Pelodiscus sinensis: one gene and its partner. The protein of the gene in region 1 interacts with the protein of each later gene in a biochemical or structural test. Links are inferred from orthologs where the notes say so. Each region holds a gene or a part of one and is shown on either strand. Other genes may lie near its edges.

Evidence for each region. The genes of interacting proteins can lie anywhere in the genome.
Region 2: the proteins of ATF3 (region 1) and JUND form a complex in vitro, tested with the Homo sapiens proteins (2 studies listed by BioGRID and IntAct, with this or other methods). The link is inferred for Pelodiscus sinensis from reciprocal best matches to the Homo sapiens genes ATF3 and JUND.

What each region holds. Positions count from the first base shown.
Region 1 is NC_134713.1:147,437,667-147,445,385, reverse strand, and holds the start of ATF3 (cyclic AMP-dependent transcription factor ATF-3), read right to left. Parts: upstream 3,017-7,719; 5' UTR 2,724-3,016; intron 2,711-2,723; exon of another isoform or gene 1,662-2,710; intron 1-1,661.
Region 2 is NC_134729.1:20,092,855-20,100,835, forward strand, and holds the start of JUND (transcription factor JunD), read left to right. Parts: upstream 1-4,971; 5' UTR 4,972-5,273; coding exon 5,274-6,230; 3' UTR 6,231-7,981. UniProt on the Homo sapiens protein: Transcription factor binding AP-1 sites.

The DNA of each region.
Region 1 (7,719 bases):
GTTTTAATGGAAAATATCATGAGAAATATTGTCCATGCTGGATTTTCATTAGTAATTGGAGGAGTTATTTTCAAATATCCACTAGCAACAAAATTTTGCTAGAATCCCTTTTATAACTTTATTTGCTTTTACTGATGTCTCCATGATTTAAGAGTAATGGGAGACTGTTTTCTACAGTCACCCTTGACTTCAGAACTTGCACTTCCCCTTGGCCTGAAATTGCCCAAGTCTCCTGACCTTCCAACATCCTGAAAGACACTGCTATTCATGAAGGGGCTGAAGATTGTGGGCAGGTAGGTTTGTGGGAATATTGTTTTGGGTTAGTTTTTCTTTGGTGGATTTTGCTGCTACTTTCAACTTTTTTGGTTTTGGTGACCTGTTTTGTAAGCTCTTTTGGGACAGAGACTGTCTTTTTGTCTTGTTTGTATAGTGCCTAGCCCAGTAGGGTTCTGCTCCATGGGGTTCCAGACACTATGAGAATACAAATAATGATAAATCAGAACCATATCAGAAGTACAGAGACTGTGGTCAGGGCCTACTTCAGGTGGAGGCTGCTTCAGCTGGATGGAGCATCCACCGCCCACAGCATGGCGGGCCAGGCTGAGCTGCAGCCTGCCTGAGGCTGGGGGCTAGTCCAGCTGGGCCTACCGCACTGCACCACAGGTGGGCGAGAAGTTGCTCCAGCCCAGCCACTAGTTAATCACTGACATCACTTCTGGGTAGACTACATCAGAAGTACAGAATGCTAGATGTATACTTGGTAAATAGATATAAAATTGTAATGTTGATATCATCCTCTGGTTAGAAACATTTTTTATTCAAGATAGAACAAGCAAAAGTTAAACATTTTGTTTTGCATCCTTTTTTCCCCAGTCATTTTCCTATAAATTATCTAAGGCTATAAGTTATTTGGGTCAAGGACCTGGTTCACTTTGTAAAGCACTAACACAATTGGACTTGCTCTATAATTAACCCAAGAAAAAAAATGACATCTAGGCCTTTCTGTTTAACTACAAGTCCATACAACTACATAGATCCCACTTGGTAAGGTGCTGAACATCTTTATCTTTCACTGAAGTGGAAGATGGAGGTGCTGAACACCCCACAGAATAGGACCACAGAGGCTCAATTCATCCCTGGAGCAAGTGCTCACTCCTCCATCAGAATCTTATGATCAAGACAAAATAATAAGTTTTACAAATAAGATCCCATTAGACAGTTTTGTTTCTATAACAGACAGGATACATTGCTAGTTATTCAGAGATAATTTTCAAAACTAATGCTTCCTTCCATTTATAGTTATTTTATTAATAATTTCCCCACTGCTTTTAGTTTTCCCCTCTCCCATTCTGAGAAGTTGTGTCAGGACACATTCTTGGAAGTCCAAACTAGCATTTATGTTATTTAAAGTGTGCTCAAGTTTAATGCTAATATTAATAATTAACACTTCAGGGCACCCTCACTCCTAGCTTCCATTTGGTTTAACTGCAGATGACTTAGCTGTATTTCCCTAGATAAATTCATTTTCCTCGGCTGCTGACGTAATAAACGATGAGAGCCAAACAGGTTAATCTGACAGGGCATTAAAGGGCAATTACCGTTCACAACCTCTGTGTACTCAAATTGGCCTTTAGGATTCTGACATTCCAGATCATAACTACCTCTTTTTCAGGCTTCGAACGTCTCTGCTGTTGTTACTACCAAGAAAATCGATTTCACACAGGAAACTGGTTCTGTGTGTAACAGTTTTCTGTTGCGTCGTCACTCAATCCTAGTTAGGCAACAGTTCAGCAACTGATCTTGTTCGGGTTAGTCGTCAGTGGAGAAAAAACGACGATTATTGTCTAATAGTGACTTTCTCGCTAATTCTTCATCCCCTCGCAGGATGACATGACTTCTTGTCTGTGTGTACTCTAATCAAAAGAGGTCACTGTTCCCCCAAAATAACAAAGGAAAAGAGCTTCATTTGGGAGTTATGTGTATCCTTCATCTCAACCGACACAGTCATCGCCGTTACCTCATTACAGAAGTCAGAGGGTGCCTTGAGCTTCGTCACTAACTTTTTTCTCTACATTACTTTGGCAAAACTTTGGCAGCAGCTCAGGAGCGATGGGCGTCCCGCCGACAAGCAGAGCCGCGCTCTTACTGTCGAGCGATGCGCCCCCCCCCCCTCCTCCCCGTGGCCTCCGGCGCTACCCCGGCCCAAGAGAAACGAATGAAGCAGCCAAGAGAGCAACTGCGGGCGCTCACATCGGCAAACTCGCCGCCCGGAAGAAGGGGGTGGCCAGATGCGACATCTGCCCCGCTCCACAAGTGCCGCTCCGGGCTCGACTGATAAAGCCCAAGGCTCCGGCCGGTGACGCGCAAGGGGGGCTCGGACTCCTGTGAGAACTTGTTCGGTGTCACAGGGGGCTCCCGAGCCGTGCCCGGGGGCAGGGCGCGTGCCAGGCTCCCAAGCGGCAGAAGGGGGGGGGGGTCTCTTTGGTGCGCGTGGCTCCAGGACTCAGAAACGCCGCTCTGCCCAGCGAGCTTTTGCTTTCACTTGTGGCTCTGCGGACGATCCGATCGCAAAGCCGCCAGCCCGCCCGACTGGCCCGGGCAGACCCTGTCCCCTGGCTGGGATCAGTCGCTTAGCAAAGTGCCGACGCTCCCGGGAGAACCAGCTGACTGAGTCGCGGTCTCCTCGCCGCCGCCCGCCCGCCTCCCTTCCCCAGCTCACTGACCTTTCCCCGCCGCTTCTCACGGCGCCTCTCCGCTGCCGGGACAAGCACAGAGGGGCCGAGCGCAGCGAGGAGCGAGCCCGCGCTGAAAGCAGGGGCTGCCCGCGTCTCTCGGGCTGGGGGCGCCGCTGCCGGGCAGTTCCGAGTTCGCCGATAGGAGAGCAGAGCCTCCTTCCCCGGACGCGCCTGAATCTGCCTGTGCGAGGGGTTGCATCACCCTCCTTATATAGGCGAGTGGGCAGCGCTGGTATTTACTCTGGCGGCGAGCGCCTGGCTGATGTCATGCTATTAATAGCCGGGCCGGAGGAGGCGGGGGAGCAGCGCGCACCGGGCGGTGATGCAAGACGCTCCCGGTCCCGGCCGGGAGGAGGAGCCAGGGAGCTGGCTGGAACGCACACGCCCCATAAGAGGACTGCTGCCGCCTGGGCGCGCCGCCAGATGTTAACTCCGGCAGCTGCGTGTCACCCTGCGGAGCCAATGGAGACCAAGCTACCTGCGTGACTGCGAATCGCTGGCAGCCTGCGGCGCCGGGATGGCAATGACAGACAGGCGGAATTAGGGGTAGAACTGGTCCGTTGAAGGGCTCCTTTGGGAAAGGCTTGGATTCTGTAGCCATTTAACGGCTGGAAAATCCCCCATCCGATCTCTCCGTGTGTAGGGGGGGAACGTGCAATTGTGCATCAGGCATTTGTGCGGCCCTTTAGCCTCCCTGCTACCGCGCCGCTGTGTGTGTGAACAGGGTGTGTACGAGCGCCAGCCTTGCTGGGCTGCCCCTGTGCAAGGGGAGCAGCGTGGGGCTCGCGCGTTGACACTGCCACAATCCGCGCCGGTGCCTCTCGCGCCTTCTTGGAAGTTTTCGTCCCCACTGGAGATTTAGCTGAGGTGTGCGAGGAGAGAAGGGCCGTAGCCCTCGGAGGGGAGGGCATTTCACTGAGAGACTCGAGGTCCTTTTGGAAAGGGCAGAAAGCCCAGGTAGCTTCCCCTCCAAAAACTGTCCGATCATGATTTCTAGAGAAGATTCACTTCTCCATTCCCTTCCCCCGTGCGGCGGGAACGTGCTTCCTCGGGCGCTTCGGCACGGGGCGTGTGTTATTCCGCATCTTCCCAGGCTTTCTTAGGAATCGGGGGTGTGGGCGAGAGGGGCTTTTTATTCAGAAAAGCAAAACCCTCTTTGCGCTAGTTTTTGAAGCTTGCAAAAGAATTGAAAATATGAGCTTCGTCACAGCGATGTGCTTCCCCGATTGCAGAGCCCCTAAATGGTCAGTGCACAAACTGAGTGGGCTGACGTTAATTTTTAGCCGGAAAGATTAAAGACCCCCTTTCCTGATACATCAGGGAGTTAAAAAAATAGCCTTTTTAAAACATAGCAACTAACATCCTTCTGGCTTCAGGGAGGAGAAAGACTGAAGCCTTACGGGGAGGAGAAGGTTTTCCTTTTTTCAGTTCACATCCTACTTTATTTTCTAACAGCCACGAAACAAAGTTAAGATATAATTTAATGCACTTCAGTATTCACGAAGACACGCACACATATACACAACATTATACTTACATATACATACAAAAATAGCATGAACACAACTTTAACTTGTAAACTCAGGCATTCAAGCCATGTTAATTCAGCCACTTTGTGTACTGAGTGTGTATGCATATTATGATATACATCAGTAAATACATACAATGTATTAACACGCAAGAGTACTACTTTAAGGTCTGCATTTAATAAGGGGCTATCTATGTGCATTGGGGATAATCTAACATTGATAACTTTAAAATTGTAAATGTCATGACTTTTGCATGGCTTCATTTCACAAATTTAAACACTTCATTAACAATGGCATTTTGCATTTAATTTCCTACTTTTTAAGGAGAATGGGGTGGGGTTAGACAGAGAAAATCTGGCTTGCATACTTTAGATCATCTTTGCAGTGTGTAGGTACATTTGTTCCTTGTAACACCCTGACCTGGTATAATTGGATTTATAGATTCTAATGCCAAATTCTTTATTCCAGTTATTTGTTCAGTTTTAGATCCCTTGCAAGTTCTAAAACATCAGTTGCTGCACACAACCTAACTGTGCACTCATATAGTTGTCACCCCTCTTTAAGTACACATCTGCAGGAACTGTAAATATCTCAGCCAGTTTACACCCTTCACAAGGTTTTATTTTTGTAAATCCAATTTTATTTTTGCAATTATTTTACTAACAACAACAACAAAAATTACTCTTTCTTGGGGACTGGGGACTTGTCTATGACTAGTTTCAAGCTTCAAACTTCAGCTGTTTTCTAAAGTAGCCTTGTAGTTAAATTGTTTATACAGCAAAGGGGTATTTTTTTCACTCATGCCACATCCAAAAATAGCTGGAAGGACTTTGCTCAGTCTCACAAAAAGACAGAAGGTAAACATGGAGAATTTCATCCCAAAATGTAAATGTTGTGGAAAGTTCTGGAAACATGGAGTTATTATGGGAAGCTATTTTGCTACATTACCTTGAGTGTAATACAGAAACTTCAGCAACTACCCAGAATTGTTTACCTACTTGTATTATCGATGGAATTTTATTTTGAACATTTTTAATTAAATTGAACAAAGTCACACAAATGAGGCAATTTGGAAGATTAAATACATTACTTCATCTTTCAGATTGGTGAGAAACACCTAACAAAGATAAATATTGTTAACCTGTTTTAAGTGTCACTAAAAATGGTCATGATCAGTGTTTCACAGGTATAATATAATACTAAGCAGACCGATACTTTTGCTTCATGCAGCTTCATTACTTCTACTATCATCATTGGCAAGGAAATATGTTTAATATGAAAAATGCTGTTGACCATAAAATAGGTATGTTATGTATTAAATTATTGATATGAGAGAGCTCCTCCCCTTAGAATAAACATAGAGGGAGAAAATATGCATGTTTTAAAGTTAGTGTTCTGTACACTATCATGGCATGAAATTCCTCAGTCAGAAGAAAATGAAACTATAATAAAAATGAAACCAAAGTTTTGCACTTTGTTTCATTAACATACAGGGCCCCACCCTGTTCCTATTTACTTCAATGTCAAATTCTCCTTGACCTCAGACAGCAAAGATGTAGGGTTTGTTCTGGTTTCAACTTAATATGAACTGATATATCCATCAAGAATGTGAGGATGTTAAAGCAAACAATAGATCCACAAGATGCTTAAATACTTTTGGTAGTTTTGCTTTTCAACTGTTCACAAATATTTTCCACCTTCCTTTATCTGAATATTCCCTGATCCTCTTAGGTTTCCTTTCTCTAGTGTTACCAGAAAACGCAGGGATCAATCTGACTGAAACAGTAATAGTTTCAGTGAGCTGAAGTCAGTTTTAATTATTATTGCTGGCTGTATCTAGACTGGCAAGTTTTTCCACAAAAGCAGCTGCTTTTGCAGAAAAAACTTGCCAGATGTCTACACTGGCCACTTGAATTTCCACAAGAACACTGACTTCCTACTGTCTGAAATCAGTGCTTCTTGCGGAAATACTATGCTGCTCCCGTTCGGGCAAAAGTCCTTTTGCGCAAAGCTTTTGTGCAAAAGGGCCAGTGTAGACAGCTCAGATTTGTTTTGCGCAAAAGCGCGTCTAGATTGGCACGGACGCTTTTCCGCAAAAAGTGCTTTTGCAGAAAAGTGTCCGGGCCAACCTAGACACTCTTTTCCGCAAATGCTTTTAACGGAAAACTTTTCTGTTAAAAGCATTTGCGGAAAATCATGCCAGTCTAGATGTAGCCGCTAAGTCTTGATCTAGGTACAGTATATGATCACCAAAGCATTTATAGCATTACTCACTGGGTATTTCTACAAAGAGCAATTACACTAACTCATAACCTGCTGCTCTGTTATTGTGGACTCTCAGAAAATCTCCATCCTGAATTGGCACAGGGAAAAGGATTCTTTCATTCACCATCTTCTGGCCCAAATCCTGCTTCTCCCACCTCCACACTTCATTTTCAGTGTCCATATCAGTAAAACATAAATATGGCCACCAGTAACATAGCTAAGCAATAAGGCTCAAATCCTCTTAGCAAAAGCTTTCTGCATTCCCTCTTCTATTAAACGTATGGAGCTGTAGGATATCTGCCAGAGAAAAGATATATAATCTGGGACCCAATTCTGATCTCTCATTTGTTGTTTCTGGTGGAGAAGCTTCATTAAGCAGTGGTATTACCTATGATTTCCTCTGGTATCACAGGCCTCATGAAATATAAATATATAAAATTTACTTTCCTAAATATCAGTCCTGCTTAATGACTTCTTAGATGAAATCTGATTTCCTGAGTCTTTTGTGGCTTTGCTACTGTTAAGTTTTGATATTACTATAAACATAAAAGACCTAATTTTCCTCTCCCTTCCACATGCAACTGAAGAACAACTCTGTTGAACTCAGCGGGGCTACAGCAATGTAAAGCCATCACAGAACTGGGCTCTTTAGAAGAGCTATTCTAGAGTATGCTAGGCTGTCATTTTGCTATGATTTCCCCTATATAGTGTATTTCTGTTCCAATACTGTACAGGCAGTCCCCGACTTACATCGGATCCGCACTTACGAACAGGGCTTCTCTCGCCCCGGATCTCACGGGCGGCGGATCGCCACCCGTGTCCTCTGGGGCAAGAAAAGCTTCTCCCGGTCTCCCTGGTCTGCTGGGGGAGGGGGGGTCCAGCAAAGCCACTGGACCCCCCCCCCCCCAGCAGACCAGGGACACCAGAGCAAAGCCGCCCAGGCAGCGGGACTCCCCCCGCCTGGGTGGCTTTGCTCCTGTCCCCCTGGTCTGCTGGGGGGGGCAGCAGAGCCCCTGGACCCCCCAGCAGACCAGGGACACCCGAGCAAAGCCGCCCAGGCGGGGGGGAGGGAGGGAGACGGGGAGCAAAGCCTTGGAGCACGCTCACAGCGGGCGTGCTCCAAGGCTTTGCTCCCGTCCCCCTGGTCTGCTGGGTGGGGGGGTGCAGCTAGTGCCCCCCCCCCCGCAGAC
Region 2 (7,981 bases), on another chromosome or scaffold:
TATCCTTACGCGTTATTTAGTAGCAATTCCCAAGCAAGCAGAATACACGTGCTAAGCACACAGTGGCATGCGCACCCATCCTGAGAAAGACACGGAAACGTCCCCTTTTGGCCAGGCTAGGTCAGTCTCTCTGGATCCTGGTCATGCAGAGGAGTCCTGGCAGCTCTGGTCGTAGGCTGTGACTTAGAATCACAGAATCACAGAACCGGAAGGGACCTCAAGAGGCCATCGAGTCCAGTCCCCTGCCCTCACGGCAGCACCACATCAGCCCTGACAGGCGTCTGTCCAACCTGCTCTTAAATGTCTCCAGTGATGGAGTTTCCACAACCTCCCCAGGCAATTTATTCCAGTGTTTAACCACCCTGACAGGCAGGAAGTTTTTCCTGATGTCCGACCTGAACCGCCCTTGCTGCAGTTTAAGCCCATTGCTTCTTGTCCTGTCCTCGGATGCCACGGAGAACAATTTTTATCCCTCCTCCTTGTTAACACCTTTTAGGTTCTTGGAGGTGAGTTCTTCCTCCAGTTCCTTCCTTCTTTCTGTTTCTTTCTTCCCTTTCCTTCTTGGACCCCAGTTTATATAGTGAAATTGGAGTCCTGCTTAGCAATACCGTAACCGATTATTTGTACTACAATTTTACCCACCTGTTGCCCCATACAGTAACAGAATTACCTACCATTGCTACCCCATCACCTTCATCGATTTACACCTAGCAAAATTATCTATGCAGCAGACGAAAATAATCACAAACCAGACAGAGTTCATCCAGGCAAACAGTCGGACAGTGAGAACCACAATCATAGCCTGAGGATTCGACAGCCACAATTATTGATACGGAGTTTCTTGCCAGACTGAACGGTGTTAAATTACATTTTATTTACCCATCTTGAGATCTGTTTCTTTACCTGGCCATACTGGGCACCATTATGATGGGCGCTCCTTCTTAGCAGCCTGATATGACCCTGTTTTAATGCAATGTAGATGGAACATGAGTATGGAACTCCCTGCTTTACGATTAATGGCCGTTTCAGTCCAGCTGCAGATAAAAGCCCTATGCTTTAGGCCAGGGGAGGGGAACTTAAAGCCTGGGGGCTGGATGCTTCCTCTGACTTGTCTGGATCCAGCCCCCCAGGCTCAGGGCTCCCCCCCCAGCAGTGGGGAGCCCACACTGATGCAGACCGGCAGACTGATGCTCACTTGGCCTGCTAGCTGCGTGTGGCCATTGTAGGTTAGGCATCTGCCTGGGCTCAACTCGAGTGGCAGACGTAGGGGCTGGAGAACTCACGCTGCAGCGTCCCCACGGCTATTCATGGTGCACTACTCTGAGCCCCGCTAGCCCCCCGCTAGTGGCCGTCCCGGCGCATTCGCATGGCCATAGACAGCGGCGTTTCCCGTTAGCTCGTCTGCCTTTGACGGCTGAAAGACGTGCACCCATCGCCTAAGGCACTAGGGGCATCCCCCAAAAACTACAGCTCATCACCTCGCACCTCCCCACTACCGGCTGTGAAAAAGCCATTCCTGGACTTTCTAGCTAGAGGATTTAGAAACTCAGGGGCTGCTTCCTTCAGCCGGTAACCTGAGCCAGGAGCCAGGACGGCCTGGCCACATGGCCAGACTCAGGCAAAGGCCTGGTGCCACGCCCCAAATTTAGCACACGCGGGCTGGGGGCCAGGGGGGAGGGAAGCAAGAGGCAGAGTCAAGGGGCCTCTGCCAGCAGCTGCCAGATGTTCACATCTAGGGTCTGAGTAGGAGCGCCTGGGCTGACCTTGGCTCGGGGCCATGGAGGCAGTAGTCAGAGCCCAACCCACATAAGGCCATAAACCTCCTTTGGGAGACAGACCTGGAAGGGGGCCCCACTGACGAGCCGAGACCGGTGCGGCGGCGTTCACAGCTCCGGCAAGAGAGGCAAAGTCCTTGAGCACCGGGTGTCTTCCGAGTGCTCTTCAACCAGAACAATCCTCAGCCGGGGTTCTGGGGTGGCTCTGAGCAGTTTCTTGGTTCTTGCTCGCGTCCTCGGGGTCTAGCTGGTCACCCTGCGTGAGCTGAGGCAGGAATTTCCCCCAGGTCAGCACGGCAGGGAACTTGGAAGGGTTTTGCCTTCCTAGGCAGGTGCAGGTGTCTTGCCTGGATTCTCTGGCTGTATCTCAGTGCCTCTGGCTGGGACCCACAGCCCTGCCTCCTGCCGTGTGGGATCAGCTGGTGGGGTCAGCGTGTGTGCAGGCTGGGGCTAGTGATCTGTGCTATCCAGGAGTTCAGATGAGACCATCGAGTCCTTGCTTGCCTGAAGCTCTGGGACTCTGCGTCTCGTGGGCTCCAGCCCATGTGTTTGTGCCAGATCCCAGGCTGGTGGGGGGAAGGGCGGTGTGCAATCCTTTATTGCCAATAAATACACAACGAAAATGCTGGCGAAGGTCTGTGTGCCGCGGCGTTCTCCCTGCTGGAAGCCAGCCACCCTCTCTGCATGGGTTGCTAGGCCGGGTCGGTTAGAGCCCAAACATCACCAGTTTGGGCAGGAATAAGCGTGTAGCGGCTGGCGAGGGTTTGTCTGAACGCAGCACTGCCACTCACGCTTCGACATGCTTGGCAAAGAGGCCAGGCCTCCCGGACACCTTCGGGAGAAGCGCCGCTCCCTCCGCCCCTACCTGTCTGACTGCCGCTTCTGTCTTTCATTCCCCAACGAGTTACACTGCATTTTTAATGGAGCCCTAGGAGATTAACCCTTGGCTGCCTCAGCGTGCACTCCAGCCCGGGTGCAAACAGCACAAGGCCAGTCCCTCCGCTTTGGGCTTGGTGCATTTCAGAGGCGTGGTGCAGGTCGCTGGGGGGGGAGAGCCCATTGGTGGGCACTGGGTTGAGTGTTTCCAATGCAGAGAAAAGCATAGAACAGGTACATGCAGAACTCTGGAACACAGAACCTTGTAAAAGAAGGATTCGGCCACTGTCGGAGTTGTTTCCAGTTCATTGCCAAAGTGCCCTGGGTGCTACATTAACTCTTTGTGGGTACCCAGCTCTCCAGGAACATACCCCCTGCCCCTGCATATCCCAAAAGGCCTTGCATTGGGGCAGCTTTCTCCAGTCAAGCAAAGGCAGGTGAAGGCAGAAGCGGGGCTGCTCCTTGGGGGCTGAGCATGCTGCCTCTACCGCAGCGGTTCTCACAGTGTGGGTCAGGCACAGGCCCCCTAAGTGGGTCACAGAAACCCATTTTAGTGGGGCTGCCAGGGCTGGCTTGGGGGTGCTGTGCCTTGAACGAAAGCCAAAGCCTGAGAACTTTAGCGCAAGACACCAAGATGGCAGGGCTCAGGCAGGCTACATTTCGGTCCCCCCTCCTGGGGTCACATTCATTTTTGTTGTCAGTAAGAGGTGGCAGTGCAGTGGCATCTGGGAACCCCCGCTCTACAGCAATCCCTGTCGGTATCTGGGCTGCAGAGGGATTTGGCTCCCTCCATCGCCCCGAGTCAGGGCAACAAACACAAACTTGTTCAACTGAAAGGAGTTCAGTGGCTTTTCCGGGGTCCTCGGCTTGTGACCTCCCCCAGCAGCACCCATGAACCAATCTCTTCCTGGCTTAGTCACAAGTCATGATAAAGGAGGAAATCTTCCTTCAGCCCTACCAGATACTGAGTAGGGGAATCACCACCAGCCAGTGCTCCCTGTAAGCTGAGTGCTTGGGTGGCTGCCCAGGAGAGATTCAGGTGCCACCCAGCTGATTGGCAGAGTGCCCTTAGCTGACCACAGCCAGCAGCATGTTTCTATTGGTGGTGCACATCTGCATGTGCTTTGGTGCACATAACACAATTTATTCCGCTTGTGGATGGAAAACTTAAGAGGGAACATCGCCACTGTCTCATGTTTTTCTATTCTTATGGCAAATTGCAAAGACCTAGGGAAGGAGTTAATTGTGTTGGTTGGCTCCCCCACAGGTGTTTCAGTGAAGTCGGGAGGCAGGGCAGGGAATTGAAGGCCCAATGAAGAAATGGTCTAAAGCAGCTGACAAACCCAGAGAGGGAGCTGGCAGGTTGCTGTGCAGCTGAGGTGGTTTATGCTGCTTGTATACTTGAAGGCCTTAGCGAGGGAAAGGTTTGTTTTGCTGCGATGCCGGCTGACCCTGCCTGGCTGCTACACCAATGGATGTTTTCCAGGGTTCTATTATATGGAGCTTTCATTGTTCTGTTCTTGAGTGACAGCTGAACTCTCCGCTCTTCCTTTCTGCTTTGGATTTTTACCTTTACAAATCCCATCCCCTTTTTGCATCCAACTCATTACACCTCCCTAGAGCCTCCTTCCCCTGCACCAGCCTGGAAGGCACCCATACCTGCCCTTCACCACCCCACAGCTTTCCAGCCTGTCAACCCTGCCGTGGGTGCCACGAAACTACAAGGAGTTGCCATGGAGAGTGTAAATGGAGTCAAAACATCCCCTGCAAGGTGAGGGTTGGCCTGGAGCGTCTGGCACCTGCTTCCTGCTTGCAAGTGGGAGCCAGCTGGGATGCTGGCTGCCCAAAGGGGGCATGAGGCTCAGTCCCAACCCATGCAGAAGCCAAAGGGGCATTGCACGGTTTGGCAGGGAGCTGGGGCCAGCAGCTGATCCGGTGCCCCGGGTTTGCAGAGCCTGGGTTGCAGCAGCGGAGCCTCACGGGCTTGCCCCGCTCCCAGCTGCAGCAGGGCACTGGATCCCATGGGTCCTGGGGGGCAGCCTGAGCCGGGCTGAGCTCCAGGCTCGGCAGCTCCCCGCGCGCCTATAAATATCCCAGGCAGGGCCCGCTGTGCAAACACCCCGCCCTCTATGACATCAACCCAGCAGGCCGCGCGCTGTTGTGCAGTTTACAAGCCGGTCGCCATGGGGACGGGGGCGCCAGGAGGGGGCGGGGCGGCCAGGCCCCGCCCCATGCAAATACGCCCCGGCGAGAACGTCATCTACGGCCAATCCCCGCCGCGCGCGGTGACCTCATCGGGCAGGCGCTGGGTATTTAAGGCAGCGCGGGGCGGCCCCCGACGCGTGTGTGCGAGAGAGAAGAGCGCGGGGCGCGTCCAGCCTGCACCGCCAGCTCCCCGGGGCCGCTGCAGCCGCACCGGGACCGACCCTCCCCCAGCGGCCGGGGCAGCCGGGCCCCGCAGCATCCCCGGGGCAGCTGGACCGGGACCGCCCCCCACCCCGGCAGCCGGGCCCTGCAACGCCCCCCGGGGCTGCTCCAGCCGGACCGGGACCGGTGCCCGCAGCGCGGCCCGGCGCCCCTTGGGCGCAGCAGCCCGGCGCCCCCCGCAGCCGGCGGGGGAGGATGGAAATACCCTTCTACCATGATGATGTGTTGAGCGGCTTCGGCAGCGGCTCGGCCCCGTCCCGCGGCAGCAGCAGCGGCCTCCCCTTCCCCTTCCCCGGCGGCAGCATGATGAAGAAGGACGGGCTCGGCTTGGCGCTCAGCGACCAGGTGGTGGCCACCCTGAAGGCGCCCGGCCAGGCGCACCATCCGCTGCGGGGCGCGGGCGGCGAGGGCCCGGCCCTGCTGGGCTCGGCCGACCTCGGGCTGCTGAAGCTGGGCTCGCCGGAGCTGGAGCGGCTCATCATCCAGAACGGGCTGGTCACCACCACGCCGACCAGCAGCCAGTTCCTCTACCCCAAGGTGGCGGCCAGCGAGGAGCAGGAGTTCGCCGAGGGCTTCGTCAAGGCGCTGGAGGACTTGCACAAGCAGAACCAGCTGGGGGCGGGCGGCGGGGCTCCCGGGGACCTGCCCCCCGCCGCCAGCCTGGCCCAGCCGCCGCCGCCGCCCCCGGAGCCGCCGGTCTACGCCAACCTGAGCAGCTACCCGGGCCCGGCCGCCAGCTACGCCGCCGAGACCGTGCCCTACCCGCCGCCGCCCGGGCTGGGGGGCGCCCCGCAGCACCCCCGCCTCCAGCCGCCGCTCAAGGACGAGCCGCAGACGGTGCCCGAGGCGCCCAGCTTCGGCGACAGCCCCCCGCTCTCGCCCATCGACATGGACACGCAGGAGCGCATCAAGGCGGAGCGCAAGCGGCTGCGCAACCGCATCGCCGCCTCCAAGTGCCGCAAGAGGAAGCTGGAGCGCATCTCGCGGCTGGAGGAGAAGGTCAAGAGCCTCAAGAGCCAGAACACCGAGCTGGCCTCCACCGCCAGCCTGCTGCGCGAGCAGGTGGCGCAGCTCAAGCAGAAGGTGCTGAGCCACGTCAACAGCGGCTGCCAGCTGCTGCCGCAGCCCCAGCACCAGGTGCCGGCCTATTGAGCACCCCGAGGGGAGCCGGGGACGTGGCCGCCGTGCGCCCCCCAGGCTCTTCCTTTGGCTGCGGGAGCCGGGCAGGACTCTGGAAGCGCCTCGGCTTCGCGGCGGGGCGCGGAGCCGCCCTCCTGCGGCAGGACTCGCCCGCCCCCGGCGCGGACTCTCGAACTAGCCGGGGCTTTGGACATGCTGGGCGCTCCGAGCGCACGGAGCCCAGAGACTGCAGCGCTGCCTGGGCGGGGGCGGCGCCCGGCTGGGAGCTCGAGTGTTTGTTTGACGTGTTTTTTCTTTGCTCTATTTATGTTTATACTGGGCCCAATGTCCCTCCCCACCCCCCCTTGTTCGAGGCCACATTCCAGTGTGCAGTAAAGTCTCGTGCCAGGAGCTGTCTGCTGTGTCTCGCCTGCTGGGCTTGGGTTCTTGCTTCCCCAGGGAGGGAGGCTGACCTCAAGGGAGGGGAAGCTGTACTTGCTGGGGGTGGGGGGTGCAAAGCGTGGGTAAGTGTGCCCCCTCTTGCCTGTTGTGGAAACTGCACCTCAGATTGGTCCCATTGGTTGGGGGGGCGGGGGGGGAGTGTTAAGCCTGTTCTGGAGAACCTACCCCAAGTGACGCCTTTCGGGAGGGGATGTGGTGGGATGTTCCAACAGCAGCTAGTGATGGCGGTACTCGACAGTGTTCAACTTCTTGCCAGGGTGTGCCCAGTCCGTTTTAAAGTCCACTGGTTTGTTTCAGGCTCTTTTCCCTTGGTGGGTTGTGGCCGTGGTTCCTGGAGTCTAAATTCCTATAATGGCAATAGAGTCCCTTGGCGGGACAAAAAAAAAACGAACAGTCGGGGTCATTTGGGCCTGACGTGCGCAACGGGGCTAGAAAGAAGGAACTTGGTTGAAACAGAAAATGGCAGTTGTGCAGAGCTGCTTCATTTCTTAGAAACCCTGTGACTAGGCAAATGGCAGTCGTCTAGCTAACTGGAATCGATTGCTCTTCCCTTTCTTCTCAGAAAAGGAATTTCAGCCGTAAAAGGCAGGGGTTGCCTGGAGTATTCAGTGCTTACAGGAAACAGCCAGAATGACCTTTCCTGGCTGGCAGCTGCCCTACTAACACTTGCAGAAAACTGGTCCCAGTGCTTAAAGGAAGATGCCTTTTCAAAGAGTGAAACTGTCTGAAAGAGTGGGTGAGATGCTACTTTCACACTGAGTATTAGTTTTTGGCAGTGCCCACAGCGGGATTGGTGGCTTCTAGACAGGACTATCCTTGCAAAATCAGGACCACAACAGCTCATTAGATGAGTTGCAGAAGAGCTAGGCTCTAATTTGACAAGACTGAGTTGCACCAAACTTTGTCCCCTTGTGTGTGTCTGCATGTCAGCCTTGTGTGTGACCTTCCATGCAGGGAAGTACTAGGGGGTTATTTTGAAAGCAGGAATTCCAGGGTTAACTTGGTTGTGTTCAAGTTAGTTTTTGGAGTGGTGGGGGGGAAGGTGAAGTACTTGAATGGTAAAGCTCCAGGTGAGAGCCAGCTGCCTTCCCACAGCTACCTGAGAGCCTTTTAAACCCTAGCCTCTTCCAGTAGGACTGAACTAGGGTGTGTACAGCTGTCTATGGTACTTGGTTGTGCAATGCGAGGCTCAGTCAGCTGACCTCACTGATACTGGTGCATAATCATAGTAGTAAACAACCAGCCAGGTGGAGATTCCAGCTCTGTACATGCCCTGGGTGGGGGGAATAAACACGAACCTTTGCCAAGGGAGGTAGCATTGG